3 linked regions of the Stegostoma tigrinum genome follow. The protein of the gene in region 1 interacts with the protein of each later gene in a pairwise test. Links are inferred from orthologs where the notes say so. Each region holds a gene or a part of one and is shown on either strand. Other genes may lie near its edges. The genes, in order: ubiquitin-conjugating enzyme E2 U-like, E3 ubiquitin-protein ligase RNF144B-like and trim32.

Region 1 (10,503 bases):
TCCAGCCTGGGATCACTGTCTGTCTAGAGTTTGCATGTTTTCCCTGTGTTTGCGTGGGTTTCTGCTGGGTGCTCTGGGTTTCCTCCCACAGTCCAAAGATGAGCATGTTAGGTAGATTGGCCATGCTAAATTGCCCTGTGGTGTCCAAAGATGTGCGGGCTAGGCAGATTAGCCTGAGGGGATAGGATGGAGACTGGGTTTGGAGGTTTAGTGCAGATTCAATGGCCTCTTTTTCTACTGTAGGGAGTCTATGACTCTACCATCCTGGCTCACTTGAATAGATGCTGTTACCCACACCACTGTACCAGAACATGAATCGTTCTCTTCAGGAAAACAAAGTTAAACAGGCAGAAAAGAAGTGCACTTGTACACCTTGGAAATCCTATTTATCAGTTAAATATAAATTCCTGCTTATCAGATAAATTATTCATTACCACACCTACGTTTTAAACATTTTGTCTCCAGTCCCTAATTGTAAAACATGGAAAAATGAACTGGCAGTCTGCATGGCAACAAATATTAGATTGCTTAAATTTCACATACAGAATGTTCACTGGCTTAAATTTCACTGAGATGGTCAAACAATTATCATCATTTTGTACAGACTGGCTCAACATTTTTATACTTACTTAAATACAAACAATTTAAAAATACCAACCACCACAAAACCAAACAATTCACTTAACTCATTCATCATATAACCATAAAACACTCTGTGGCGAAGCCAGTCTCAGGGGATACAAAGTGTATGAGGTCTAATAATAGGGTGGCAGAGGGAAGGGAAGATTTAAGAAATCAAGTAGGAGGAAGAAAAAGAACAAGGCAAGCAGGAATACAAAGGCAACAGTGAAATAACATGACATAATATTAGTGAAACTGAAAGGGAGAGTGGGTAACAAAAATAATTTGAGACTGGAAATTAAACAGAAACAGTTATTGGGCAAGAAAAAGAAAGCAGGTATGTCTGTGATCAATGCTTCAAAAGTTCAAGTTGACCAAATATGGAAATCCAAAGCAGGAAAATGACTGATGAGATCAATCAGAAAGGGGTCAAATCACTTTGCTCTGACCCCAGATTTGCTGTCAAATTGAGGGAGAAACTGAGGAAAGGCAGTCTGTGTGAAAGTGCAGTATTTCCGGTCATACAAGGTCGACTAATATTGCAAAATATTCAGACTTACTTACAAAGAGTCTAGTTTCTTGAAGTTTAGCATGTTCTCTTTCCAGTAATAAGTATGCCTTGGATTGCATGGCCTTGCAGCAAAATGACTCACCAAATGAATAATCTCCTTAATCATGTCAGTATAAAATATGGCACTGAATATTTCCTCCACCTTTGTGGTGTCAAACAAACCAGAAAGTGCAATTTAATATTATACAATATTTATATTAAATGAACAAAATACAATTAATACGTTAATGAAACAGTATCAGTCAGTCAGTTATTATGGGAAATAACAAAAAGAAAAGTGATTCGATATAAAATGGCAAGATGGCCATTTGAACTTTTGTGGAAACTTGGTTATCCAATAGTAAGAAGTTATTCTGCTTAATATTTTCCACTAAGTGCTCATCGTGTTTTGATTGACATGAGTTATGTCATCAAAATTAATATGAAATTATACTGTATGATGTTAACATTAGATTATTTTCATTTCCTACTTTGAATGATATTCTGGGATAAGATTATTTTTAATCATTGTATATTTGTCCCCTTTCTTTTCTCACCTTCAGGCTAGAGGCTCGGAGTTCTGCAGCAAGTAACTGACCTCCCAACCCGCCAAAGTTTGTCCACCATCTATAAGGCTCAAGTCAAGAGTGTGGTGGACTGTTGTCTGGATGTGTACAGCTCCAAAAACACTAAAGAAGTTTCATGCCACTGAGAATAAAGCAACCCAATTGATTGGCACCCTATCCACCACTTTCAACATTTCACCATCTATGAAATGCAGTGCAATAAACCACTAAGACTCTTCTAACAGCACTTCCCAAACCTGTGACCTATAGTACTCGAAAGGCAGTGGCTGCAGATCCATGGGAACAACCCAACTATAAGTTCTCCTCTAAGTCACACACCATCTTGACTTGGAATTATATCATCATTCCTATCCTGTCACTGGATCAAAAATCCTTCCTAACTGAACTATGGATGTCACTACGTCCTGAGGGTTGTAATGGTTTTAATGGTTCAAAAAGGCAGCTCACAATCACCTTCTCAAGAGCAATTAGGGATGGGCAATAAATGATGGCTCAGCTGGCAAAGCCCACATCTCACAAATGAAGTAAAAACCAAACCTTGAGAATTTTGTTGGTCACCACTTCCCATTTTTGAGGCCTCTATCAATTACATTTAAAAAGCAGCTTCAAGATTATGTTCCAAGGTTTTACACCACACAATATGACACAAGTAATTCACTTACATTTCAACAGCAAGTTTCTATTACAACTGAAATCTAAGGTGAGGGATGGTACAAGGGGTATTGAGCTGACAGGAGATGTTAAAAAGGAGAAATGTAGAGGCGTTGAGCTAAAGCAGTTGTAGGGTCATGAAGATAAATGTTGGGTTAATAGACTGAGGGCAGGTATAGAAGGCACTGTCAATAGTATAGGAGCATGAAAGGAGGGAGATGTTGCAGCCACTGATATTGGATGAAAGGGAACATTCAGTTGAAGTTAGACAAAAAGGGTAACAATGGTTAAGTACAGGGATATTGAGATGAGTGTAGTGTTTGATTGCCTGAGTCTTGCAGCGGGGAGTTTTTAAGCTAAAGGAAGTCATCAGAAGCACACATTGGGCTTCTATTGGCAGGAACAGAGATTTGAGACTGTGTATGGGGGGTATTAAAACTGTTCATGGGGATTTGGAGGTGGTGCAGGCATATTGAGGGTGGGTTTAATTAGCAGATATTAAAGGGGGTGATTGAAGCATGGGTGTGGGGGATTGATAGAGTAAAAGGTAGTATAAAATTTAGAGAACATTGCAGGGAGTACTGAGGTATTGAGGGCTGTTTTAGGGGTGAGGAGGTGTACTAGATACCAGAGGTACTGACAGGTATTTAGAGGGAAATGAGCAAAATTAGTGTAAAAGGAGAATTTCAGAGATAGTGTGGGGGAATCACAGTGTAGTGAGGGGATAACAAGATACAGCAAGGGTGTTAAGGGATAGTTGGAGGCAATCATAGGACCTAGGAGTAATGGAGTGTTTGGGCAGGATGTGGGGTTAGTGAATGATGAAGGGATGACGTGGGGACTACAGGATGATAAAGCATTGGGGGTGACAAGAGTGTTCAGGGTGACAAAAGATTTGGGGTGAATGAGAGGGATTAGTGCATGATGAGAGGGTTTCGAATGATAACAGGATTAGAATGATGGGGAAGATTAAAGGGCTGATGGGGGTTAAGAAGGTGATTGGGGTTAAGGAGGTGTTGGGGGTGATAGGGCAGATAAGGGGGTGATGGGGCAGATAAGGGGGTGATGGGGGTGATAGGGTGACAGGGCGAATACGGGGGGAGTGGTGATAGGATGGATATGGCGACGATGGGGGTTAAGGGGGTGATGGGGAGGTGATAGGGTGGATAAGGGGGTTATGGGAGAGTTAAGGGTGTGATGGGGGTTAAAGGACGATGAGGGGTAAGTGAGCCATGGGGAGGGAGATGTGGTTTGGGGATACTAACTGCAGTTAGAGGGTATTATTGCAGGATGATGAAGGACCAATCGGACCTGAGCTGCTGCCTTCCCCAGTTTCTGATTTCCGGGTGAATTGTCTCCTTTCCTGGTTCCAAGTCCAGTCTGTTCACTGCCTTCTGGATCTTCACAGGGATCCGCCAACACTTAATACAACTTTACTAAAGATAATATTCAAAGAAATCCACTTCCTTCAGAGAGTGAATGACAAAAATGAACGAAGCTTTAAAGTTTCACGACAATAAATACCTTGGGAAACTGACAGGGATCCCCACTCCATTTCCAGCAGCTCGCCTGCCACCTAAAGTGTTGCTAGTTGCCTGGTAACGAGGGCTGGGGCGATGCTCCCCGCGCCCCCTGCTGGTCCCACACTGTCATTGCAACAGAATGCCAAACAGGGCAAAGTCCCTCAATTCCATCTTCCTGTCCGCAACTCATTCTAACCTTGCTCTGAATTCCTCTCAAAAAATTAATATAAAATTTAAAAAAAACTCCCCACCAATCCCATCTTCACATCATCTATCATAACCCGAGAATTCAGATAGCAAACGCAGTATTGTCGAAATAAAAATAGAAATTGCCACAGAACTCTGCAGGTGTTGAACTTCTGTGGATCAGGAGAAAATAAGAGTTAACGTTTCAAGTCCAGTGAGGAAGGAGGGTCACTGGCTTCGAAATGCTAACTCTGCTTCTCTCTCCACAGATACTGCCAGATCTGCTGAATTTCTCCACAATTTTGTTTCAGATCTTCAGCATCCGTACTTCTTTGTTTTACAATATTGTTTCATGTTGTCATCTGTGAACTTTAACTTTGGCTAGTGTCATCAAACAAAGTAATAAATTTCAGTTAGATAAGCCTTGGATGAGAAGGGTCGTTGCTATGGCCTTGAAGTCAAGTATACCTGAAATAGGCAATGAGCTAAAGTAGGTAATATTAAGGCAATGCCTGTTTATTGTTTCAGAGACAGTAGGAACTGCAGATGCTGGAGAACCTGAGATAACAAATTGTAGAGCTGGATGAACACAGCTGGCCAAGCAGCATCAGAAGAGCAGCAAAGCTGATGTTTTGGGCCCAGACCCTTCTTCAGAAAAGGGTCTTCTTCAGAAAAGTTTTCTGAAGGAGGGTCTAGGCCCGAAACGTCAGCCTTCCTGCTCCTCTGATGCTGCTTCGCCTGCTGTGTTCATCCAGCTCTACACCTTGTTATTGCTTATCCCTCCTTATTTATTCATGTTTTATTCAGTCAGAAGATGTATTTGTAAGGCTAAGCCAGCATTTATAGCACATCCTTGCTTGACTCTGCAGAATATGGTGGTGAGCTGCCTTCTATTAGTGCAGTCCCTGTGGGTTTAATTTACTTAATTGCTTTACTTAATTGTACTGAACTGCCGGAAAACCTGAACAAAAAAAATGCCAAAGAACTGAGGATCCTGGACATCAAAAAAAAACTAAAATTGCTGGTTAAACTCAGCAGGTTTGGCAGCATCTATGATCTACTCCACATTGGGGAGGTGAAACAGACACTGGGCAACCACTTTGTGGAACACCTACGTTCTGTCTGCAAAAATGACCCAGAGCTTTCTGTTATCTGCCACTTGAATGCAACACCGTGTTCCCTGGCCAATGTCTCCGTCTCAGGCTTGCTGCAGTGCTCCAGCTAAGCTCAATGCAAGCTGGAAGAACAGTGTCGCAATTTCCGCATGGGGGCCCTGCAGCCTTTGGGACCAATATTAAGTTCAAAAATTTCAGGGCCTGAGCATCTTCTCCCATGTCCTTACTCCAAACCCCACACATACTAGACCAACATGAGCTGCTACCATGACCAACCAAATGTCAACTACTAACAGTCCCCCATTATCAGCTATTCATTCTCCTAGGCTGACCTTTAACCATTCCTGTGCCTGTCTGACAGTTTTTCTCTCTCTGGGTTCCATCTGCAGCTATCCTTTACTTCTTCCCACTGCCCCCACCCCATCTTCAGCATAGTTACCAAATTTTTCCCAGCGACAATCAGCTCTGAAGAAAGATCACTTGACGAGAATTGATAATTCTGCTTTTTCACCATAGATGCTGCCAGACCTGCTGAGTTTCTTCAGCTATTTCTGTCACTGTGGCTAGAAATCCTGAATAACTTGCTGAGCTTTTTCAGAAGACATTTAAGAGTCTGTAAGGCTAGAAAAGGTAAGGATAGCAGATTTCCTTCCATAAGGGACATTCGTGAGTGAGATTGTCAAGCACATTGACAATGGCTTCATGGATATCATTTGTCCAGGTTTGAATTTAACAAAATTCAAACTTCAACGGCTGTCATAAAGGAGTTCAAACTAGTGTCCCAAGTCCATTAATCTGGGCCTTGCCAGGGATATTATTATCATCCGTCCCACAAATTTGATGAAAACGGAAACAAAAATTAATGAAATTTTCCAGTTGGTGGGACGGCAGTATTTGGAATTGATACGTTGATTAATTGATACAATTGGTATAACTTCCTGGAGAAAAAGACAAAGTAGAGCATTCTTCCAAAGTGGTTGGAAAATGAGAGTCTTTATGGCGTCGACGGAGTGGGAGGAGGAACACATAAATGGTGACAGTGCCAAAGCAAAAGACAAATAATGCTGGAAAACAAATAGAGATTTTAAGTGGGTGTAAATTAAGGTATGCAAATGAGGAAATCGCTGCGACCAGCTGAGAACAATGTTAACAATGCACAGTAATGACAGAAAAATAAAACAAAGAAACTAAAACAGGAATTGCTGGCAAAACTCCGCAGGTCTGTCAGCAGGTTAATTGATACTGCCAAACCTGCTGAGTTTTGACAGTAATGTCTGTTTTCATAATAAAAAAGATAAGGCTGAATAGGGGAAAAGGGATTTAAGGAAAAAAATACAGGACAAGGGTAAAACTCTGAAGTTGTGGAATCAATTTTGAGTCCAAGAGGCTATATTTTGTATTCCCTTCCCTTCCAGTTCTGAAGACCATTATAAACAGACTCAAAATGTTAAATCTGATTCTCTCACTTAGATGCTGCCAGATCTATTGTGTTTTCCCAGCACCTTTTTATTAAATTTCAGATTTCCAGTGTTTGAATATTTTGCTTTTAGATGGATATATTTGAAAGTGAGTGAGGGGAGCAAAGAAATTGAGATAGTAAATGTCATGCTGCCAGATCTCAAAAAGATCTGGAAAGGTTAAGAGGCTGGAGCATAGGGTCTTGGTGGAATGAGAGTTTTGAAAATGGGTTTAAAAAATGATCCTTTGCAAAATGTGGAAATTCTGCAAAGAAGCAAAGGTGAGAGAAGAAGAGCTAAGCATTGAGTCAAGCTCAAGAAATTCATTCAGATGTATGTGCAAGGGTGCAGGCCTGAGGCCTTTACCACATATCATAATGACTGTGGATAGTGTGAGTTAATTCTTTGGAAGAAAGAGAAACATGCAGTTGGCTAAATGTGGCCTTCAGTGTGGAAGCTCAGGTAACAGAGAGGCCTATGGTTTAGACCATAAGTCCATAAGACATAGGAGCAGAAATTAGGCCATTCAGCCCATCGAGTCTGTTCTGCCATTCAATCATGGCTGATAAGTTCCTCATCCCCATTCTCCTGCTTTCTCCCCATAACCATTGAAGACCTTGATAATCAGGAACCCATCTATCTTAGTCTTAAATGTACTCAGTGACCTGGCCTCCATTGGCTTCTGTCGCAGTGAATTCCACAGATTCACCACTCTCTGGTTGAAGAAATTTCTCCTTGTCTCATTCTAAAAGATCTTCCCTTTACTCTAAGGCTGTGCCCTCGGGTCGTAGTCTCTCCTACCAATGGAAGCATTTTCCCAACATCCACTTGTCCAGGCCATTCACTATTCTATGAGTTTCAACTGGATCCCCCCTCGTCTTTCTAAACTCCATCGAGTATAGACCAGAGTCCTCAAACTTTCCATTTCTGGGACCATTCGCATGAACCTCCTCTGAACCCACTCCAGAGCCAGTATACCCTTCCTGAGATACGGGACCCAAAACTATACACAGTACTCCAAATGTGGCCTGACCAGAGCCTTATAAAGCCTTGGTGGTACATCCAAGTCCTGTCAAAATAAATGCCAAAGTTGCATTTGTCTTCCTGACAACTGACTCAACGTGCAAGTTTACCTTGAGAGAAACCTGGACTAAAACTCCCAAGTCTCTCTGCACTTCAGACTTCTGAATTTTCTCCTCATTTATAAAATAGTCCATGTTTCTATGCTTCTTACCAAAGTGCATGACGTCACACTTTCCCATGTTATATTCCATCTGCCACTTCTTTGCCCACTCTCCCAACTTGTCCAAATCTTTCTGCTGCCTCCCCACCTCCTCACTACTACCTGTCCCTCCATCTACCTTTGTATCATCTGCAAATTTAGCCAGAATATCCACAGTTCCTTCATCTAGATTATTAATGTATAAAGTGAAAAGTTGTGGTCCCAACACTAACCCTTGCGGAACTCCATTTGTCACCAGCTGCCATCCTGAGAAAGATCCCTTTATCACCACTCTCTGCTTTCTGCCAGGCAGCCAGTCTTCTATCCATGTTAGCACCTTGCCTCTAACACCATCGGCCCTTATCTTACCCAGCAGCCTCCTGTGTGGCACCTCGTCAAAGGCCTTCTGGAAGTTCAGATAGATAACATCCATTGGTTCTCCATGGTCTAACCTGCTTGTTATTTCCTCAAATAATGCAGCAGATTTGTCAGGCATGACCTCCCCTTGATGAAACCACGCTTACTATACCCTACTTTACTATACACATCCAAATATTCAGAAATCTCATCCTTCACAATGGATTCCAAAATCTTACCCAGGTTAGGCCAATCTGCCTGTAATTTTCACTCTTTTGTCTTACTCCATTTTTAAACAGGGTTGTCATGTTTACAATTTTTCAGTCCTCTGGGACCTTTCCGGACTCTAGCGATTCCTGTAAGATCACCATTCATGCCTCCACTATCACTTCAGCTGTCTCCTTCAGAACTCGGGGGTGTAATCCATGTGGGCGTGATGATTTATCCACTTTCAAGCCATTCAGTTTTTCTAGTGCTTTCTCCTTGGTAATGGCCACCATACTCAACTCTGCCCCCGACTCTCTTAAATTTTTGAGCTATCACTTGTAACTTCCACTGTTAAGACTGACGCAAAGTAATTATTCAGTTCCTCAGCCATTTCCTTTTTCCCCACTGCTATCTCTCCAGTGCATTTTCCAGCAGTCCAATGTCCAATTTCGCCTCTCTTTTGCCCTAAAGAAACTCTACAGTCCTCTTTTATTTTACTGGTTAGATTATCCTCATATTTAATCTTCTCTCTCTTTATTTCTTTTTTTGTTGCCCTCTGTTGGTCTTTATAAGTTTCCAAGTCCTCTGGTTTCCCACTGCCTTTCACCACATTACATGCTTTTTCTTTTGCTTTTACGATCTCCCTGACTTCCATAGTCAGTCACAGTTACCTCATCACCCCTGTACCATGCGTCATTTCCCTCGGCATGAATATTTGCTGTGTCTCCTGAAATACTCCTAAATACTCCTGCCAATGCTGTTCCACTGTCTTTCCTGCTAGGCTCCTCTCCCAGTCTATTCTGCCCAGCTCCTCTCTCATGCCTCTGCAGTTGCCTTTATTCAGCTGTAATATCATTACCTCCGATTCTAACTTCTCCCTCTCAAATTGCAGAGGAAACTCAATCATATCACGAACACTGCCTCCTCAAGGTTCCTTCATCTTAAGCCCCATTATCAAGTCTGCCTCATTGTACAACATTAAATCCAGTATTGCCTGTTTCCTAGTGGGCTCCACCACGAACTGCTCCAAAAAGCCATCTTATAAACATTCCACAAATTCCTTTTCTTGCAATCCACTACCAATCGGATTTTCCCAGTCCACCTGCACACTGAAATCCCCCATGATCACCGTAACTTTGCCTTTCTTACACACCCTTTCTATCTCCTGGTGTATAATGTGCTTCAGCTCCTGATGATTGTACAGAGGCCTGTACATAATTCCATCTATGTTTTTTTCACTTGTGTTTCCTCAGCTCTACCCACACAGATTCTACATCATCTGATCCTTCTTTGTTTCTTACTATTGATTTGAGTTCATTTCTTACTAATAAGGCAACCTCTCCCCCTCTGCCTGTCTATCTTTTCCAAAGAATGTATATCCCTGGATATTCAGCACTCAATCCTGATCCCCTTGCAGCCATGTCTCCATGATGCCCACCACATCATACCTGCCAATTTCGATCTGCAACACAAGCTTATTTACCTTATTTCTTGTACTACGTGCATTCACATATAACACCTTCAATCCAGTCCTAGCCGTCCCTCTTCTCATTGTCACTCGTTTATCCATTGTGCTTGAAGTTTGATCCCTAGCCCTCTCCAAACATTCTGTCCTATCTGTGTCAGTGCTGGAGACTTTAACAACTTCTCCTGAGTCTTCCTTTTCTGTAACTTTTTTCATATTTTTCCATGTAGTTGAACCCGCCACGACAGATGTTAGTCTGCTGTTTTGTTCCCCACTGTGGGGATGTTTTACCCTTCCCTACCGCACCCACAGTTTCTACTTTAAGGTCATATTGGCCGTCTATTTACACTTTTTTGCTGGAACATTGGTCCCAGCTCGGATCAGGTGGAGACCATCCCTGCGGTACAGATCCCTCCTGTTTCAGTCCTGATGCCAGTGCCCCATGAAAAGGAGCCCCACTTTCCCTCACCACTCTTTTAGCCACGTGTTTACTTCCTTGTTCTTGTGTCCCTATGCCAATTTGCACATGGCTCGAGCAGTAATCTGGAGATTATAGCACTCG
Region 2 (10,912 bases), on another chromosome or scaffold:
CAGATAAAACACTTTTGTGCATTATGATATAGTACACGTAAAATTCTTTAATGCTTAGTCTGCCTCTTTGACCTGTAAATGCTCCATGCGCGACTCCTTTAAAGCTATGCGTTTCCGGCTTATCAGCTCTTGGATCTCCTGAGCATTCTTGTCAAACCCAGTTTTGAGTTTCCTGGTTAAGTGATTGAGTTTTTGCAAGCTTTGCCGGAGTTGGTTAGGATTAGGGTTAGAGTTCACACTCTAACCCTAATCCTAACCAACTCCGTCAAAGCCATACAACTTTAGAGAGATTTTCAGCAATTGTCCCTGCTTCCTATCGCTAAATGTGTACTGTATTCTTGCACAGCAGCAAGAGGAAGTAACAAGCAAACTCTTCAATCACTGCTTGGAGGAATCTGTAAAAAATGCCATCCCTGCAAACCCAAATATAGGACGGGAAACCAAATTACAGGATAATCTTGGAAAATCCAGAATGTTTGGTTAACCTGACAATGCAGAATTTGCAGATTTCAATGAGACTTACCAGCTGACTCCAAACCCATTGAATCAGAGTGGAATTCAGTCATCTCGATCTGAAGGGAATTCCTAAGGAGGAGGAAGAAGAAACGATCCAAAGAGTCTTTTTAGTGCTTGAAGTACTTGTTCTAAAAGGGATACAATTTACTGTAGTAACTTAGTTGGAAGAGAATTACTTTTCTGTTAATTTGGGTAAATTTTTGTTCCTTTATTTAAATTAATAATCATAACATGGAATTTCATCAGCCCTTGAGCATTATGGGCAATGGTGAGCAATTTGGGAGAGTGTGCTGAGGATGAAATAAAATCTGATTCTCAATATCACAACAAACGTACAATATTGCCCTAAAGGTTTCAATGGCTAGATGAGAATCTCACTAGTAAGCAGTGAGGACTTTAGTTCCATGCATTTGCATCTTATTAATAGCTAATCTGGCCTCATTTATATGCAGTTCATGATTCCCTTAGGTACAAGTGATAAATTATATTGTGTCATTTCCCAGCTTGAAAGTCTGAGCGGCTACCTGGCAGATGCAGCTTTCAGCTTGCTTTTCTGGGATTCCATATTCAGCCCCATTTACAAACTCCTAATGGCATGCTCTATGGGCAGCAGCAATCGCCTCCATCCTTTGTCCAACAAAGTCAGAATCAGCAAAATGCCAGTCTCACCATATCACCACCTCAGACAAATTCAGAAGACATTTTAGCTCTACACTATTATATGTTGGAGATCATTGACGCTATATATTGTATTGCTTCTGCCAGGTTCACTTTACGAGCAGGGACACACGTCTATCTCATGCACCTGCACAGAGTGCATCTTAGGTCTTTTAGCTTGTCTTTTTAGTGCTCACTCATTTTGCTCTTATTTGGATGTTCGCAGCATCATTTCTTTGTGTTTTGGCGCATTGCTGCTTCATTCAGTACTTACAGGCTCACATTTTCTCTGGCTTGTCTTGCTTCTTAGGGCAGACAGGAAATTAGGCATCCTGTCACCAGTTTCCACCTCTGACCAGTTGATGGGGTTGACGTATTGACATCCAGCATTGTGCCAAGTCTGTGTCACTCCTACAGCATGTGCCAGCAGCATACATAGCAAACACACTGCATGTACTTCAACCAAATAACCATGTCTCAAAGTCCAAGCGAAGTAGTCCTTAGTCGAGAGGAAGGGGAAGGGGTGTTCTTTGATCAGTTGAGGTCATGGAAAACTTAGTCGAGGGCATCGTCACATCTTAATCTAGGGGAATTGGCCACAGTAAGTCAGACACTTGGTGCAGTCAGGGTCCAAAAATCCCTGTCGTTTTGGTCTGTACTGAGCTACTGTCAGTCCTGCAGGTCAAGTCCAAACACCCTAGAGGGGTTACAGGTAAGTCAGTTGTGGAATGATAGAGGCATTGGTTAGATGGCTGTGCCGTGCTCAATTGTGGCTGTCCTCAAAAGTAAGTCCAAGGGGTGGGCTACAGATAGTCCTGGGTTTGGCCCAATAAACGTCAAGAGGGTTTATCAGGTGAAGTTCTTGCTGTGTCGAGGAAAGTGGGAAACTCAAATGTAGGGCAATAAAATGTGAGGCTGGATGAACACAGCAGGCCAAGCAGCATCCCAGGAGCACAAAAGCTGACGTTTCGGGCCTAGACCCTTCATCAGAGAGGGGGATGGGGAGAGGGAACTGGAATAAATAGGGAGAGAGGGGGAGGCGGACCGAAGATGGAGAGTAAAGAAGATAGGTGGAGAGAGTGTAGGTGGGGAGGTAGGGAGGGGATAGGTCGGTCCAGGGAAGACGGACAGGTCAAGGAGGTGGGATGAGGTTAGTAGGTAGCTGGGGGTGCGGCTTGGGGTGGGAGGAAGGGATGGGTGAGAGGAAGAACCGGTTAGGGAGGCAGAGACAGGTTTGAATGGTTTTGGGATGCAGTGGGTGGGGGGGAAGAGCTGGGCTGGTTGTGTGGTGCAGTGGGGGGAGGGGACGAACTGGGCTGGTTTAGGGATGCAGTAGGGGAAGGGGAGATTTTGAAACTGGTGAAGTCCACATTGATACCATATGGCTGCAGGGTTCCCAGGCGGAATATGAGTTGCTGTTCCTGCAACCTTTGGGTGGCATCATTGTGGCAGTGCAGGAGGCCCATGATGGACATGTCATCTAGAGAATGGGAGGGGGAGTGGAAATGGTTTGCGACTGGGAGGTGCAGTTGTTTGTTGCGAACTGAGCGGAGGTGTTCTGCAAAGCGGTTCCCAAGCCTCCGCTTGGTTTCCCCAATGTAGAGGTAGCCGCACCGGGTATAGTGGATGCAGTATACCACATTGGCAGATGTGCAGGTGAACCTCTGCTTAATGTGGAATGTCATCTTGGGGCCTGGGATGGGGGTGAGGGAGGAGGTGTGGGGACAGGTGTAGCATTTCCTGCGGTTGCAGGGGAAGGTGCCGGGTGTGGTGGGGTTGGAGGGCAGTGTGGAGCGAACAAGGGAGTCACGGAGAGAGTGGTCTCTCCAGAAAGCTGACAGGGGAGGGGATGGAAAAATGTCTTGGGATGTAGGGATTGGAAGTATTATACTGTGATGCAAATAATTAATTTAAAGGAAGGCTACTAAAATTTTAAGTGTGCATGGTTCTCACGGCAATGTGGTAGACCAGATGCTGAAGGAAAATAAGAGATATTCATGAAAAATGTCTGCGGACACATTCACGGTTGTTGGAGAGAGTTAATGGGAACTGCAGATGCTGGAGTATCCTAGATAATAAAGTGTGAAGCTGGATGAACACAGCAGGCCAAGCAGCATCTCAGGAACACAAAAGCTGATGTTTCGGGCCTAGACCCTTCATCAGAGAGGTTGTTGGAGTAAGTTTTTTTTCTCTCTGCTGGGGCAGTGTGGACATGTTTGTTCTACTAGGCAGAATTTGGATGTTAATTGAACAATGATTGTAGGTTCCTTTTTAAGACACTTAGAATGAAAAGAAATGTGCAATCATAAATGATTGTGTAGTCACACACAAGTTTATGTAGAACACGAGTGGAGGCAAGGACCTATTACAAAGTGTTCTCAGTAATTTTGGACTAAGTGAGCTCCTCACTCAAGGTCTTGGCTACACCCACGAACATAAGGGTTGAAGAACATCTGAATTCGATTGCTTACCTCTGAGAAGCATTTCGGATAGCCATGCTTCACCAGTACAACTATCTTCCCTAGGATGTATGAAGAAGCAATTTGTCTTTGACGTGGCTGCCGCACACCCAGGTCGTACAAGTAACATGACAATTGATCAGACATGTGATGATTTAAAATGCATACATTTTAAGATGTGAGAGTGTATTTACATCAGTTTCACCTGTACTACCTATGTATTGAGTTTTCTTTTCCCCCATACTCGCCCATTGCATCTAGTTGCAGTCCTCACGTCCCTATTTGTGGATGGAACCAACTCTACATTGGAGCCTGTTGCCCAGAAAGATTTGAGAGGATGTCCCTCAGGGTGTTTCTTGGTCATAGGCCCATTCGTAGGAGGAGCCTGGAGTGGGACTCATGGCTAATGCAGCGAGGTTTGTGGTTGCGGTAGGTCCTGATTGGGACTCATAGCAATGTCAACAAGGCAGCGGCAGTGGAGCCGGGATCTCCTGGGCATCAGATGGACCAGAAATAGGGACTCACTGCAGCCCGGAGACCCGAATGCCTTACAGAAGCCCCTTAAGAAGAGCTGGGGCCGTGCTTAACAATAAGGACTGTAAGTTTGAACATTATTTCTTATTTTTCTGCATATATATTTCCTCTGTCAATTGATGAGAAGATGAGGCTCTATTTAAGTAATTTCTTCTTAATCATTTTGTAATCCAAAATAGCGCCAGATTGTGGCAACAGAACACTTTTCACTCTAATTTTCCAAATATATGTGACAGTAAAATTATTCATTCAATCCGACACGCCAGGTGTGCTCTGCCCTGATGTAGGCTAACACTTCTCAACTGCAACTTCCACAGTGTTAGGGATCAAGGCAGTGTGAAGATGGAGGGATATGGCATTTGCGAAGTATTCTGAGAGGAGACTTGTGGGAGACCTGTTTGTGGTTCCTCCTTTGCCTGGGTGCCTGCTGCCACCATCCTGTCTTCTTCAGAGGAAGGGGCACCTGAAGTAAGATCAAGGTTCCATATGTCCTTCTCGTCTCTTGTCTTGCTGTTGATGCTGAGCACCTTGGCTGAAGTGATGGAGTGTTGTTTCTCATGTATTTCTGGCTGCCACTGAACATTTTACTGAACCCAGATTTCCATGCTGGTTGCCAACCTGTCCATGGAGGTATCAGATGCACACATGCTGAAGCCAGCACAAAACTGAAGACAGTAGTGGACTAGGATAACAAAGCGTGGAGCTGGATGAACACAGCAGGCCAAGCAGCATCTCAGGAGCATAAAAGCTGACGTTTCGGGCCTAGACTCTTCATCAGAGATGTCTCCAGCATCTGCAGTTCCCATTATCACAGTAGTGGACTACTCCAATTTTTAGTGATAATGGGAACTGTTATCTTGGATTCTCCAGCATCTCAAAGTGTGAAGCTGGATGAACACAGCAGGCCAAGCAGCATCTCAGGAGCACAAAAGCTGACGTTTCGGGCCTAGACCCTTCATCAGAGAGAGGTATGGGGAGAGGGTTCTGTAATAAATAGGGAGAGAGGGGGAGGCGGACCGAAGATGGAGAGAAAAGAAGATAGGTGGAGAGTATGGGTGGGGAGGTAGGGAGGGGATAGGTCAGTCCAGGGAAGACAGACAGGTCAAGGAGGCGGGATGAGGTAGTAGGTAGGAAAAGGAGGGGCGGCTTGAGGTGGGAGGAAGGGATGGGTGAGAGGAAGAACAGGTTAAGGGAGCGGAGACAGGCTGGGCTGGTTTTGAGATGCAGTGGGGGGAGGGGACAAGCTGGGCTGGTTTTGTGATGCAGTGCGGGAAGGGGAGATTTTGAAGCTTGTGAAGTCCACATTGATACCATTGGGCTGCAGGGTTCACATTGATACCATTGGACTGACCCATGCTCTCCCTACCTCCCCCCCTATTATCTCCTCTCCACCTATCTTCTTTACTCTCCATCTTCGGTCCGCCTCCCCCTCTCTCCCTATTTATTCCAGTTCCCTCTCCCCAACCCCCTCTCTGATGAAGGGTCTCTGCCCGAAACGTCAGCTTTTGTGCTCCTGAGATGCTGCTTGGCCTGCTGTGTTCATCCAGCCTCACATTTTATTACTCCAATTTTTAATCCAGTTTACCAAGTGTTTCTAGCAAACATGCCTGCTACTACAGTGACTGGCTATCCATTCGCACACTCATTCATAGCCGACACCGTGGGATAATCTTCAAAGAAGCAGAACTTCACAAAGATATGTTGACAAGTTGTTGGCATTACACGGATAGGTAGCAGGTGATGTTCAATGTGGAAAAGTGTGAAATGCTACACACTGGCACAGAGAACATGGAGAGACTGTGTAAAATAAAGGGTACTATTCTAAAGGGGGTGCAGGCCTACAGCGACCTGGATGTATCTGTGTACACAACAACAACAACAAAAACAAAGTGGCTGAAAAAGCTCAGCGGGTCTGGCAGCATCTGTGAAGGAGAAAACAGTTAACGTTTCAGGTCCGGTGACCTTTCCTCAGAACTGAAATCAGTTCTGATTTACAGCATCCACAGTTCTTTCGGTTTTTATTAGTATCTGTGTACAAATTGTTAAAGGTAGCAGGACAAATAGAGAGAGTTGCTTATAAAGCATACAGTAGTTATGTTTCATTAGCCAGTGCATGGAGTACAAGACCAGGGAGTTTATGCTGAACCTATACAGGAAACTGATTAGATTTCAGATGGAATATTCTGGTGCAGAATAAACTGATTGGGTGAGGGGCTGGCCTCTTTCGGGTTGGGTCTTTGATAGTTACCATATTTTTGTTATTTTTCTTTCCATTGACATTTTTGATATGTATTATCATAAATATTTTGTTAGTACCATTAACCTTTATTCAGGATGTTGACAGTCCCAAACAAGAATTATAACTGGAGTCTGGGATTAGCTTCCCTCATCGAGCAGTTGTTCGCAAAACTGAAGTCTTCTTTATTAATATTTAAATTGCCCACAGAGAAAGGAGGAAGTTCCATGCTCAGTTTCCTGTTTAATCACAAGCCTCCCATGGGTGGAGACAACTTATGACGTGGATGTCTGTTGAGGCAACTTGCTCTAAAAAAGAAAGCTGTTTTGTTTTCAAATTAGTCATTCACGAAACTGTAGTCATGCCAACACATCGTGAAAGCAAACCTACCAAAAACTGAAGCGTCTGTCGCTGGAACGTGCACACTTCTGAAAGCCTTTCGAATCAGCAGAGCTACTCAGAAAACTGCAGCAACTGAAAAGTAGCATCGTGTGCCTGCCTGTGTCTGTGTTTTCCCAGGCACAGGTCGGTTTTCGTACCAGGCTGCACATTAATTTCAGCAGATAAACAACTTCCACTGATCTCAGCTTCTTTCCTTCAGGGCTGAAATTTTCTCCTCAGAGGTATGAAATGTGACAATAAATGTTTGATCCGTTCTAGCTTTATTTGTTTAATTTATTTTAGTTAAAATAGTGCCGTAAGGTTGTTACAGAATTCTATTTGGTTGGTATGGAGTGGGGTATTTTTGTTTATTGTTTGTTTGCGGCACACCTTAGGCGTTGGATTTATAGAAAGCAATAACATAACTATTTAGAAATACCTTTTATATATAAGCTACCTGGTTTTATGCAAGTATGTCTGCTGTAAATAGGAGTTCTTTTGGTAACATTTGAAACAACCTTGTCGCATAACCACTTTTGGAACGCGAACTATTTTGGCAAAACTAAGGTGATTTTTCAAATACCACTCGTTGTTTTATCATTTGATTGGTCTGGAAATAAAAATGTTGATTTTATCTTGTCAAACCTAGCCACATTTCTTATTGGTTTCAAAGTCAAAAGTATTCTGTGGTTTTGGGAGGTGGGTAACTCATTGGCGTTTCTACAGTCTAAAATCAGCAACGCCAATCAACATAGCAGATCAAACTCTCCAAACATTGGCACTTGTTCCTCCTGGATTTGTGTTTCTATGCGTACCTGGAGTGAATCATATGTTCCTTTGTAGTAATGGGTTTAAATACTTTACACTAAAATTTTGATCAGGTCGATAAAGTAATTTAGTGATGACATCTGTTGCTGCTCTTATCTTTTTGGTGTTATTGTTATATGCATGCATAATTTTAAACAACCTTTTTTGGTCTCGGGGGAGTTCTAGCGGATGATGTGTGGCCATCAATGGCTTTTGGTTCTGCTTTTACTGCTGTGAATTTTATGTGGAATTATCATCCACTCTGTGAGGAAGAATAGCCTTCTGCTCCATCCCCTGACAGCTTATTTTGTGCTGCTATGATTTAGTTCCTCCTCCAAAATGTGGCCCTTACAATGGTAAGACAGAGATATGCACTGTGCCTTGTGGCTGATAAAATGGAGACTTGCTGGTGACAGGCTTCCACTGGGTTTTGAGAGAAGGGAACGTAAAGAGGTAAGATGGTGGAGATAGTGGGACTTAGGTAAACAGTGTCCTGTCATTGTAAATATGGCCTGATTTCAATTCTAAAATGAGTAACCTTTTAGACAGTGGCCACACTGTCTGAAATTAGAAGGCATATGTAGAGATTCTTGGTGCTTATGAGATTCAAACCATGCCAAAGAAGAGCACTAACTGTTCCTCTATAACACGGTGGTTGGCAGATAGTTGTTGTGCATCTGGTTTTGTTGCCATAACAAGGGCAGGACAGTCTAATGAGACAATAACTTGACTCTTCTGTCCTGTTCACCAGACTGTTCTATTACTGTAAATCTCTAATAGTGCCTCTATCTTGCTGCTATCAGACAGATCCTTCCTTTTCCAAGTCTCAGAAATTTCCTGTCATTAGAGAGAGAAAAAAGGAAAATTGAGTTTTCAATTTTTGATCATATTGCATAAAATAATTAACAAATAAACCAGAAAGAGACTTGCTTTAATATAGTGCTTTTACATAACCTCATGATGTCTATAAGCATTTTATAGCCAATGGAAAACTTGTGAATTGTAATCACTTCTAACTTTTGCTTTTCACTCCTGGGGAAATATGGGTTAACTAGTTGTCAGGCCAACATTTATTGTCTGTCCCTAACTGTCCTTGAAGGTTGTGTTGAGCTGGTCTTTTGAACAGTTGCAGTGTAGAAGGGAAGGTGAGAAATGTTTAGTGCAGCAATTTAATGAGCTGAAATGTGCTACCTTGAAAAACAGATAGTGGTTACTTTCAAAAGGGAGTGGATAATTACTTGAATGAAAGATTTGCTGGACTTTGTGAAAAGTCAAGGAAGTATGACTAAATTGAGTAGCTCCATTTGAAGCACCGATATGATGAACCAAATGGTTTTCTTCTGAACTGTATGAGATTATACTGCCGGATTACTCAAAAAATGCCGTGTATTGACTCTCAAAATTTAACCAATGGACTATTAAATCCAAATGAAAATAAAGAACAATTGCAGAAAAAGTACATTGCTGTCATCCTCATAGGGGTGGCCATCAAAAATCTTTCTTGTCTTCAGGTTCAGTATACTTTGCTTAATCTAATGCCTTCTATATATTGATAGCAGAGCACTGGTAAATTTGTATAGATTTTGCTTGGGGTAAAATTCAGGACATTGTTTAATGTCAGAATGGCATAGACATGTTCAAGTATTTTATATCCACTGTGTACAATATTCTTCAAGACTGTTGAGGGCTGGGTTTCAATTGGTTTGACAGACTGTAAGGATGTTCAGATTATGAACATGTCTTGCCTTTAGAGTGGATTGAATGTTTTACTGCAGTTTGAGTTTGTTTGGTGGAAAGGAAGATGAGGAGACATATTCTGACCTCTATTTGTAACCCAACCAGGGACAGGAATTAAGATTACAGTAAAAAGAGGCATTTATAGACAGGTACTAAATTAGTAACAGGGCCAAATCTAGCTTTTAAATGACCAAGGGTGTAGAGCTGGATGAGCACATCAGGCCAAGCAGCATCAGAAGAGCAGGAAAGCTGATGTTTCGGGCCTGAACCCTTTAGAAAATTACTATTTCTGAATCAGTTTTAACTGACCAAGTTAATGATCAATCATATCTCAGTTAGATGGCGATTCACAGGTGATCACGTGAGTGATCCTACAGGATTAGCTCCTTTTGGCTTTTCTCCCCTCTCCTCAAGCCCTACCTTTTTTCAGAATCTTGCTGTTCCTGATGAGGAATTGTGAATACTGCTGCCATTGACACCACGTTCATGTTCAGTTGGTCAAGAAGTGCAGCAAGTTCAGAATCCAAAGTTTTTAATCCCTCTTCTCATTCCTCATAGTGTTCTCAGTTTTTAGTCCTTTTTTTCTCTCTTAATTGGGGTTGGGCTAATTGCTATCTTCCCCTGTACAGTCATTCTTCATGTGCAAGCCTGGACAGTAAATGTGGATGATATATTTGGTTTTGGATACTGTAGAGTCACACAACTTTAGCTGAGGCCAAAACCAAGGTATTCCAGTCAGAATGACTGGATAGTGATGAAGAGATTCTAGCTGTTAATGATGACACTGATTGCTGCGCCTTTTTTTATAACCAGCTGACTCACCATTGAGCAGGAATTGACTGTGACAACTTATCTTGGTATCATCATATTCATGTTCGGTGTGATGCAGCAGTTCATTTGGTTCAGCCAGCTCTTGCTAAAGAGTCAGAAAGCAAGTCTGATTGCAATCTTAAGCAATGCATAGTTTGATACATCAATGCACTACTAAGAGGCGTATGCCCCTTTTTTCCCTTTTTACGAGGGGCTTTCTGTTTTTTTCTTCTTGAATAGCTATCTTTAATTCATTGAGCTGGAATCTCATTTGTCTGTTTAATTAGATTTGTTTTATTCGTTCATGGGATGCGGACCATGCTGGCTAGGCCAGCATTTATTGCCCGTCCCTCTAAAAGGTGGTTGTGAGCTGCCTATTTGAACTTTTGCAGTCTGTAGCCACCATTGCCATTTCAAAGGATTTTTATCCAGTGTCACTGACGGAACAGCGATTATATTTACAAGTCAGGATGGTGAATGGCTTGGAGGGAAATTCTTAGGTGATTAGTGTTCCCATGTATCTGCTTATTCTTTGAAACCCACAACCACTAGAAGGTGCTATCTAAGCAGCCTTAATGAACTTCTGCAGTGCATCTTGTAGGTGGCACGCACTGCTACTACTGAGCTTGATGGTGGAGAGAATAAATATTTGTGGCTGTTGTGTTAATGAAGTGGATTGTTTGTCCTGAGTGGTGCCAAATGTCTTGAATATTGTTGGAGTTTCAAGAAGGGTGTATTCCATCACACCCCTGACTTAGGCCTTGTAGTGGAATCA
Region 3 (11,018 bases), on another chromosome or scaffold:
TGAAGGGAGTTGGTTCGGGGGGTGCATGGCACTGATGGGGGTTGAGGCTGGATAGGGAGTGTGGGAGGAGAGGGTGGGAGTCTTGGTAGAGAACACCGAGACGGATCTACTCAAGAATCTAATTTACAGCAGTAGTAGCTGTCGTCCCAAGTGAAATTGTGGAATAGGTGAGCAGTGAGCAGAAAGCTATCTGTAGAATTTTTGCAAAGCTGCCTGTGGAGGACTGTAAGATTTTGCCCTCTGATTTCAGAATAAGGTTAAGCTTGTTTATCAGACTATTGTGAAAAATGCAAGTTTATTCATCAGGGTAGAAATTTAGGACAACATTTGTAGGAGCTAAATACTCAATGACTCAATGCTTATCAGAAGAACCTCTGTTCACAACCTAACCACTTAAGGGATATGAATAATTAACATTCTAATTGCCTAACTATTGAGAAAGAACTACAATAATTGTTACAGAGGACTTTATTTCTTTCTTGACTCGAGAATTGGACAGGAATGATGCTTCTTTATATTCTTGCCAGTTTCTGTTTTGGTTGATCTTTTCCATGTTGAGGAACTGAAACCTGGTCCAAAATGTTAAATGTCGAAATGACATTTCAACAGGCCTCAAAAGTTATTGGAATAAGCTACAAGAGATTCCACCCTTTTGTTCCCTCTGTAATTTAACTGAAATAGAAACTATTGTATTTTCTGCATTTCAGCTTCAATGTAAGACTTGCTTTGAAATGCATTAATTGTTATCTTGAGCCTGAATGCAATGGCCCAATAATTTCTCATTCGGCGTTTCTCAAAATGCAAAGAATTTGTGTAATAGTTCCAAAAGCAAAGTACAGAGAGACATGCATAATTGCTAGTCCTGTGACAATCCACTTTGTGCATAAGGTTGAAACAAAACACAGAATGACCATCATTAAATTGAAATCAACAAATGCTGGAGATCACAGCACATCAGGCAGCATCCATTAAATCGTTCAAGCAACTGCAGTGCCCCAGTTAAGAACAGAAATCATAGTGGTCAAAGGATCATTTGAGTTTAGACCGAAGAGGATGAATTTAGTAGTTTAACATAAACAATGTTGATTCAGCTTCCTGATACGCATTTCTTTTTAAAGTTTCTTCACACCTGGCCTTCTCTCTGGGGATAGTGAGAAGTGGTGAAAGAATTCTGGGACTGTTTACCAACTTGTAAATCCATGTCATGAGCACTCGTTATGGGTCCAACAACTCCTGGCTTAGACCTTGCACCTGGAGATACTGATATTAGACCAGAAGACCATAAGACATAGCAGTGGAAGTAAGGCCATTCGGCCCATCAAGTCCACTCCGCCGTTTAAATCATGGCTGATGGGCATTTCAACACCACTTCCCTGCACTCTCCCCGTAGCCCTTGATTCCTTTTGATATCAAGAATTTGTTGATCTCTGCCTTGAAGGCATCCAATGTCCCAGCCTCCACTGCACTCTGCAGAAATGAATTCCACAAGCCCACCAATCTCTGGCTGAAGAAATGTCGTCTCATTTCAGTTTTAAATTTACCTCCTCTAATTTTAAAGCTGTGCCTACGGGTCCTAGTTTCCCCGCCAAACTGAAACAACTTCTGAGCGTCCACCCCTTCTAAATCACACATTATCTTGTAAGTTTCTATTAGATCTCCCCGCAACCTTCTAAACTCTAATGAGTACAATCCTAGGATCCTTAGCTGTTCATCATACGTTAAACCTACCATTCCAGGGATCATCCATGTGAATCATTGCAGGACAAGCTCCAGGGCTAGTATGTCCTTCCTGAGGTGTGGGGCCCAAAATTGGACACAGTATTCTAAATGGGGCCTAACTAGAGCCTTATAAAGCCTCAGAAGCACATTGCTGCTTTTATATTCCAACCCTCTTGAGATAAACGACAACATTACATTCGCTTTCTTAATTACGGACTCTACCTGCAAGTTAACCGAGAGAAAATCCTGGGCCAACACTCCCAGATCCCTTTGCACTTCTGATTTGTAAATTTTCTCACCGTTTAGAAAATAGTCCATGCCTGTATTCTTTTTTCCAAAGTGCAAAACCTCACATTTACTCACATTGAATTTCATCAGCCATTTCCTGGATCACTCTCCTAAAAAGTCTAAATCTTTCTGCAGCTTCCCCACCTCCTCAGTACTACTTGCCTGTCCACCTATCTTCGTATCATCAGCAAACTTCGCCAGAATGCCCCCGTTCCCTTCATCCAGATCATTAACGTATAACGTGAACAGCTGCGGCCTCAACACTGAACCTTGCAGGACGCCACTCGTCACCAGTTGCCATTCCGAAAAAGAGCTTTTTATCCCAACTCTCTGCCTTCTGTCAGACAGCCAATCCTCAATCCAAGCCAGTAGCTCACCTCGAACACCATGGGCCCTCACCTTGCTCAGCAGCCTTCCGTGAGGCACCGTATCAAAGGCCTTTTGGAAGTCTAGATAGATAACATCTACTGGGTTTCCCTGGTCTAACATACTTGTTACACCTTCAAAGAATTCTAACAGGTTTGTCAGGCACGACCTCCCCTTACTAAATCCATGCTGACTTGTTCTAATCTGACCCTGCACTTCTAGGAATTTAGAAATCTCATCTTTGACAATGGATTCTAGAATTTTACCAACTACCAAGGTTCGGCTAATCAGCCTGTAATTTTCCATCTTTTGCCTTAATCCCTTCTTAAACAAGGGAGTTAAAACAGCAATTTTCCAATCATCTGGGACTTTCCCTGACTCCAGTGACTTTTGAAAGATCACAACCAAAGCCTCCGCTATTTCCTCAGCCACCTCCCTCAGAACTCTAGGATGTAGCCCATCAGGGCCAGGAGATTTATCAATTTTTAGACCCTTCAGCTTTTCTAGCACTTTCTCTTTTGTAATGCCTACCGTACTCAACTCTGCCCCCTGACTCTCCCTAATTGTTGGCATACTACTTATGTCTTCCACTGTGAAGACTGACGCAAAGTACTTATTAAGTTCTTCAGCTATTTCCTTATCTTCCATCACTAGCCTTCTAGCATCAATTTGGAGCAGCCCAATATCTACTTTTCCCACTCGTTTGTTTCTTGTGTATTGAAAGAAGCTTTTACTGTCATTTCTAGTATTACTAGCTAGCCTACCTTCATATTTGATCCTCTCCTTCCTTATTGCTCTCTTTGTTATCCTCTGTTTGTTTTTGTAGCCTTCCCAATCTTCTGATTTCCCAGTGCTCTTGGCCACTTTATAGGCTGTCTCTTTTTCTTTGATATATTTCCTGACTTCCTTTGTCAGCCATGGCTGTCTAATCCCAACCCGGATAATCTTTCTTTTCTTTGGGATGAACCTCTGTACTGTGTCCTCAATTACACCCAGAAACTCCTGCCATTGTTGGTCTACTGTCTTCCCCGCTGAGCTCTGCTTCCAGTCGATTTTCGTCAATTCCTCTCTCATGCCCCTGTAATTACCTTTATTTAACTGTAACACCATTACGTCCAATTTTGCCTTCTCTCTTTCAAACTGCAGACTGAACTCTACCATATTATGATTGCTGCCTCCTAAGTGTTCCCTTTCTTTAAGGTCTTTTATAAAGTCTGGCTCATATTAAAACTGTATCACACGACATCTTCAATATACAGTAAGTCAATGGAATTAAAAACAATGGGTGCCTAAATCAATGCCATCTGTTTTACACTAACAACCAAAGCCACCCTCTGCTTCGGAGTACCCATCAAAAATCTACCTCGCCTTGACACATTGTTTTTTTTCCATATTGTCTGCACCATGATTATTAACACTTCAAAATTTAACTGAGACACAAGGGAAAACAAAAGCATGGAGCTGCAGTTAATGCCAATATCCTGATTACAACACTTGGTCTGAAACAGATCTTTATAGCTGAATGATTTATTGATCTAATTGTAATGATTGGACCGAGGTTAACCAGGTGGACCTCATAGAATACGAGTTCCATGATTGGGGCTGTTAACCTGGTCCAATCAGGGACCCCTGGCTGATACTAAGAACATAAGTGTCAGACTGTTCACTCTGAGAGCTGGCTCTGAGGAAGCTGGATCAGTGCCAAGAATTCTCCATGTGTAAACGAAAGGCAACTTGGTGTTGGGATACCATCTGCATGGAGTTATTTCACTAATATCTCATCATGCAAGTATGACTTCTTCGATCAAGGGATTTACTTGATTTTTACAGAGTGCTTGATAAGATCGCACATAATAAACATAATAAACTAGTCCTTAAATGATGAAAATCAAACAATTCATTGATCATGAGACAGTAGGAACTGCCAATGCTGGAGAATCTGCGATAACACGGTGTAACACTAGATGAACACAGCAGGCCAAGCAGCATCAGACCGTAATTCATAGATCATGGAGCTCTTTTGTGTGAAAGGCTTTTTTCCCGATTTCGATAAACCATTTTAATAACTTGTCTTTAAATACTGGATTTTCAATCTTACGGTGTCATTGAAGGGCTTTATTCCTGAAATCTTCCATATTAGTTCAAAAAATAAGTTAAATCTGGTATAGAAATATTAACACATTCAGGCAAAGAATACAAATAAATAATAACTAAGCAATTACCCAAATATGGCAATATTCTGAACAATGTAATCTGAAACAAAAACTATTAAAGTTCCCATTAGTAGATCAGAAATCAGGTGCCTAGCAATGTTCCATCACCTTAATAATAATGCATCAATAGCTAACACTCTGAAGATACTGTCCAGTTTTACTCACACCGTTAACACAGAAATAAGGCTCCAGTCAGTCTCCATAGAATACTTACAGTGTGGAAACAGGTCCTTTAGCCCAAGACGTCCACACTGCAACTCAGAGCATCCCGCCAATCCCTACATAACCCACTTAATCAACAAATCCCCAAACACAATGGGCAATTTAGCATGGCCAATCCATCTAGCATGCACATCTTTGAACTGTGGGAAGAAACTCACGCAGACACAGGGAGAATGTGCAAACTCCAAACAGTCACCCAAGGGTGGAATCGAACTCAGGCCCCTAGTGCTGTGAGGCAGCAGTGCTAACCACTGAGTCACTGTGCTGTCTCGATGTACCATCTCAAAACAAGCATTTTGAGTATTAAGCAAAATCTTCACATTTAGCTATCAGATCTGGTTCACTTCCTTTCCTGATGTCCAGTTAATATCTAATCACACAGAGCTCATCTATTCTTTACTCCTGTTTTTTTATCGTATTGTGCCAAAGACTTGTGTGGACTTAATATTATTCAGGAATAGGAAAAGTTAACAAACCTGTCTCTTTTTAATCTATCAGCTCATTATTGTGTCTCCAAACCAAAATTTTTCCGACAGATCAAATAGTCACCCAACACAGTTTTACCAACTATTTCAAAGATCCTGCCTTGCAATTGTTTCCATAAACCTAATAGGCCAAAATTTGTGGACTGAAGTAGGAACACAGGAATTAGGATCAAGAATAAGCCATTCAGCCCTTTAAGCTGGATCTGTCATTTGCCAAGATCGCAAGATGTGGCCTCAACTAAACTTCATTCCTGTTCCCCAATACCCTCAACTCCCTTATCTAAAGCAACTGGGGCAGACAGGAAAATGGATGGAGTTCACAGCACTTACAGTCATTCAATTGCAAAGATTTACTCCAGTGGTTTTAGAGAGCAATGTGTTGTTGTAAAAAGAAATATTGGTTGGCATGTTCCAGACACACATGCTCATCCCCAACCACCACAAAATTCAGGCCAGTTTCTTTTAGGTGAAAAAGATTCCCTGACTTCCCTTATGATACATTTTTCAATGTTTTTTTTTATTTGTGGTCTGATATTTGAATTTGTTGCCACGTTAACAGCTTGCTTGGATTCCTTTTTGAATGCCTTCCATCTGCTTGAAGAATCCAAACAGATCTCATTAGGCCAAGCAGCATCTCAGGAGCACAAAAGCTGACGTTTCGGGCCCATCAGCTTTTGTGCTCCTGAGATGTTGCTTGGCCTGCTGTGTTCATCCAGCTTCACACTTTATTATCTTGGATTCTCCAGCATCTGCAGTTCCCATTATCTCAGATCTCATTAGGCTTTCTTCTCTTCTGAAGAATGCCAAATTTCTTACTATTTCTAATTGACTGGATCCAAGATCCAGAGGAATACACATCAATCATGTTCTTCATTTACACTGAGACAAGTAGCTTTACCAGTACCGTATTCCCATAGCAGAAAAGTTTTTCCATGTATTCGGAAACTGTTTCCTAAGCACTGAACAATGTTCTGTACAAGCTGCACAATTGTACACCAGTATCACAACTCAAAACTTCCCACGGGGGATGTGCTCACGTTATTCCTTTGTTTTTACTTTCAAAACGGACTCGGGCCACACTTCAAAACAAGTACCTAATAGTCTACAGTGTTGGTGGGGATGTATAAGAACTTGGCGATAACCAGTGATTGTGAAAATGCAAGTTCTTTTTTTTTCAAAAAATGCAAAAATAGTGGAATATACTTTGCAGTACGATTTTGCAGAACGAGTATGCTTTTATTTAGGTTTCGGCATCGATGGTCAAGCAGTGCGATTTTGCAAAACGTGTACGCTTCATTTATCACTGGGATATCGCTACGGCACGGATACAACAGCGCTAAATCGTTTGGAAATAAAAGGCAAGGAACTTGGCAGAGTGAAAAATAGTAATGATCCACCTTCATAAACATGCACATTTTATATCTCATAAGTACAAGTAAAATAATGACACTCATTATTGCACACAATCCTACCGAAGGGGAAATAAAACAACTTCAACGGGGCGGGGAAATTTTGGTTTGCAACACACTTCGGCGCAACTGCGCACGCGCGTTGTCTTCCCGGGCTGGATACCCTGGAAGGAGAGGTGCGGATTTTGATTGACAGCGGGGGAGAGCCAATCAGTTTCACGTGTGCTCCATCGTTGGCGGAGGACGACAAATGCAGTCGGGCGCGGGGCGGGTGACGTCACAACGGGGCCTGGAAGCTGCCGGGCGAGCGTGAAGTCTGCGACAGGAAGAGCGCGGGCGTGCGCGCGCACGCAGGGGTCGGCGGATGACAGGCGAGCGCCGCACTGCAGGCGCGGGGTCTGCTTCCAGGGCCGCCCCGCACCCCCTTCCCCTAACGATCAAGACAAGAACCTGAAGGACTGAGCCAGCGGTAAATGTCTTCACTTGCTTTTTTCTTAAAAAAAATGTTTCTATATATAGTGCGTTGGTAGACCGCTGCGTTTTTGAAATTTGATCCGAGGCCGGTTTTGTTTGTCTTTCGGATTCCTCGCCGAAGCCTAATAGCTCGACCCTTAGGCTTAGAAGCGTCTGGACAAGCAGTGTTCCTCAAATCTATCCCCCCTATAAATCTAAGCTCCCCGACCCCGTCAAATCCAACCCACCCATATGAATCTAACCCCCTCAAATCCAACCCAATCCCCTCAAATCCAACCCACCCCTATAAATCTAACCCCCTCAAATCCAACCCACCCCTATAAATCTAACCCCCTCAAATCCAACCCACCCCTATAAATCTAACCCCCTCAAATTCAACCCACCCCGATAAATCTAACCCCCTCAAATCCAACCCACCCCTATAAATCTAACCCCCTCAAATCCAACCCAATCCCCTCAAATCCAACCCACCCCTATAAATCTAACCCCCTCAAATCCAACCCACCCCTATGAATCTAACCCCCTCAAATCCAACCCACCCCTATGAATCTAACCCCCTCAAATCCAACCCACCCCTATGAATCTAACCCCCTCAAATCCAACCCACCCCTATGAATCTAACCCCCTCAAATCCAACCCACCCCTATGAATCTAACCCCCTCAAATCCAACCCACCCCTATGAATCTAACCCCCTCAAATCCAACCCACCCCTATGAATCTAACCCCCTCAAATCCAACCCACCCCTATGAATCTAACCCCCTCAAATCCAACCCACCCCTATGAATCTAACCCCCTCAAATCCAACCCACCCCTATGAATCTAACCCCCTCAAATCCAACCCACCCCTATGAATCTAACCCCCTCAAATCCAACCCACCCCTATGAATCTAACCCCCTCAAATCCAACCCACCCCTATGAATCTAACCCCCTCAAATCCAACCCACCCCTATGAATCTAACCCCCTCAAATCCAACCCACCCCTATGAATCTAACCCCCTCAAATCCAACCCACCCCTATGAATCTAACCCCCTCAAATCCAACCCACCCCTATGAATCTAACCCCCTCAAATCCAACCCACCCCTATGAATCTAACCCCCTCAAATCCAACCCACCCCTATGAATCTAACCCCCTCAAATCCAACCCACCCCTATGAATCTAACCCCCTCAAATCCAACCCACCCCTATGAATCTAACCCCCTCAAATCCAACCCACCCCTATGAATCTAACCCCCTCAAATCCAACCCACCCCTATGAATCTAACCCCCTCAAATCCAACCCACCCCTATGAATCTAACCCCCTCAAATCCAACCCACCCCTATGAATCTAACCCCCTCAAATCCAACCCACCCCTATGAATCTAACCCCCTCAAATCCAACCCACCCCTATGAATCTAACCCCCTCAAATCCAACCCACCCCTATGAATCTAACCCCCTCAAATCCAACCCACCCCTATGAATCTAACCCCCTCAAATCCAACCCACCCCTATGAATCTAACCCCCTCAAATCCAACCCACCCCTATGAATCTAACCCCCTCAAATCCAACCCACCCCTATGAATCTAACCCCCTCAAATCCAACCCACCCCTATGAATCTAACCCCCTCAAATCCAACCCACCCCTATGAATCTAACCCCCTCAAATCCAACCCACCCCTATGAATCTAACCCCCTCAAATCCAACCCACCCCTATGAATCTAACCCCCTCAAATCCAACCCACCCCTATGAATCTAACCCCCTCAAATCCAACCCACCCCTATGAATCTAACCCCCTCAAATCCAACCCACCCCTATGAATCTAACCCCCTCAAATCCAACCCACCCCTATGAATCTAACCCCCTCAAATCCAACCCACCCCTATGAATCTAACCCCCTCAAATCCAACCCACCCCTATGAATCTAACCCCCTCAAATCCAACCCACCCCTATGAATCTAACCCCCTCAAATCCAACCCACCCCTATGAATCTAACCCCCTCAAATCCAACCCACCCCTATGAATCTAACCCCCTCAAATCCAACCCACCCCTATGAATCTAACCCCCTCAAATCCAACCCACCCCTATGAATCTAACCCCCTCAAATCCAACCCACCCCTATGAATCTAACCCCCTCAAATCCAACCCACCCCTATGAATCTAACCCCCTCAAATCCAACCCACCCCTATGAATCTAACCCCCTCAAATCCAACCCACCCCTATGAATCTAACCCCCTCAAATCCAACCCACCCCTATGAATCTAACCCCCTCAAATCCAACCCACCCCTATGAATCTAACCCCCTCAAATCCAACCCACCCCTATGAATCTAACCCCCTCAAATCCAACCCACCCCTATGAATCTAACCCCCTCAAATCCAACCCACCCCTATGAATCTAACCCCCTCAAATCCAACCCACCCCTATGAATCTAACCCCCTCAAATCCAACCCACCCCTATGAATCTAACCCCCTCAAATCCAACCCACCCCTATGAATCTAACCCCCTCAAATCCAACCCACCCCTATGAATCTAACCCCCTCAAATCCAACCCACCCCTATGAATCTAACCCCCTCAAATCCAACCCACCCCTATGAATCTAACCCCCTCAAATCCAACCCACCCCTATGAATCTAACCCCCTCAAATCCAACCCACCCCTATGAATCTAACCCCCTCAAATCCAACCCACCCCTATGAATCTAACCCCCTCAAATCCAACCCACCCCTATGAATCTAACCCCCTCAAATCCAACCCACCCCTATGAATCTAACCCCCTCAAATCCAACCCACCCCTATGAATCTAACCCCCTCAAATCCAACCCACCCCTATGAATCTAACCCCCTCAAATCCAACCCACCCCTATGAATCTAACCCCCTCAAATCCAACCCACCCCTATGAATCTAACCCCCTCAAATCCAACCCACCCCTATGAATCTAACCCCCTCAAATCCAACCCACCCCTATGAATCTAACCCCCTCAAATCCAACCCACCCCTATGAATCTAACCCCCTCAAATCCAACCCACCCCTATGAATCTAACCCCCTCAAATCCAACCCACCCCTATGAATCTAACCCCCTCAAATCCAACCCACCCCTATGAATCTAACCCCCTCAAATCCAACCCACCCCTATGAATCTAACCCCCTCAAATCCAACCCACCCCTATGAATCTAACCCCCTCAAATCCAACCCACCCCTATGAATCTAACCCCCTCAAATCCAACCCACCCCTATGAATCTAACCCCCTCAAATCCAACCCACCCCTATGAATCTAACCCCCTCAAATCCAACCCACCCCTATGAATCTAACCCCCTCAAATCCAACCCACCCCTATGAATCTAACCCCCTCAAATCCAACCCACCCCTATGAATCTAACCCCCTCAAATCCAACCCACCCCTATGAATCTAACCCCCTCAAATCCAACCCACCCCTATGAATCTAACCCCCTCAAATCCAACCCACCCCTATGAATCTAACCCCCTCAAATCCAACCCACCCCTATGAATCTAACCCCCTCAAATCCAACCCACCCCTATGAATCTAACCCCCTCAAATCCAACCCACCCCTATGAATCTAACCCCCTCAAATCCAACCCACCCCTATGAATCTAACCCCCTCAAATCCAACCCACCCCTATGAATCTAACCCCCTCAAATCCAACCCACCCCTATGAATCTAACCCCCTCAAATCCAACCCACCCCTATGAATCTAACCCCCTCAAATCCAACCCACCCCTATGAATCTAACCCCCTCAAATCCAACCCACCCCTATGAATCTAACCCCCTCAAATCCAACCCACCTCTATGAATCTAACCCCCTCAAAACCAACCCAACCCCA

What was found.
Region 2: the proteins of ubiquitin-conjugating enzyme E2 U-like (region 1) and E3 ubiquitin-protein ligase RNF144B-like interact in a two-hybrid assay, tested with the Homo sapiens proteins (2 studies listed by BioGRID and IntAct). The link is inferred for Stegostoma tigrinum from reciprocal best matches to the Homo sapiens genes UBE2U and RNF144B.
Region 3: the proteins of ubiquitin-conjugating enzyme E2 U-like (region 1) and trim32 interact in binary tests that used the Homo sapiens proteins (3 or more experiments, as listed by UniProt). The link is inferred for Stegostoma tigrinum from reciprocal best matches to the Homo sapiens genes UBE2U and TRIM32.

Annotation. Positions count from the first base shown.
Region 1 is NC_081361.1:49,098,927-49,109,429, reverse strand, and holds the start of ubiquitin-conjugating enzyme E2 U-like, read right to left. Parts: upstream 4,016-10,503; 5' UTR 3,965-4,015; coding exon of another isoform or gene 3,934-3,964; intron 1,335-3,933; 5' UTR 1,252-1,334; coding exon 1,186-1,251; coding exon of another isoform or gene 1,182-1,185; intron 1-1,181. UniProt on the Homo sapiens protein: Catalyzes the covalent attachment of ubiquitin to other proteins.
Region 2 is NC_081355.1:32,894,283-32,905,194, reverse strand, and holds the start of E3 ubiquitin-protein ligase RNF144B-like, read left to right. Parts: upstream 1-6,672; 5' UTR 6,673-7,025; intron 7,026-10,912.
Region 3 is NC_081382.1:14,831,245-14,842,262, reverse strand, and holds the start of trim32 (E3 ubiquitin-protein ligase TRIM32), read left to right. Parts: upstream 1-7,006; 5' UTR 7,007-7,171; intron 7,172-11,018. UniProt on the Homo sapiens protein: E3 ubiquitin ligase that plays a role in various biological processes including neural stem cell differentiation, innate immunity, inflammatory resonse and autophagy.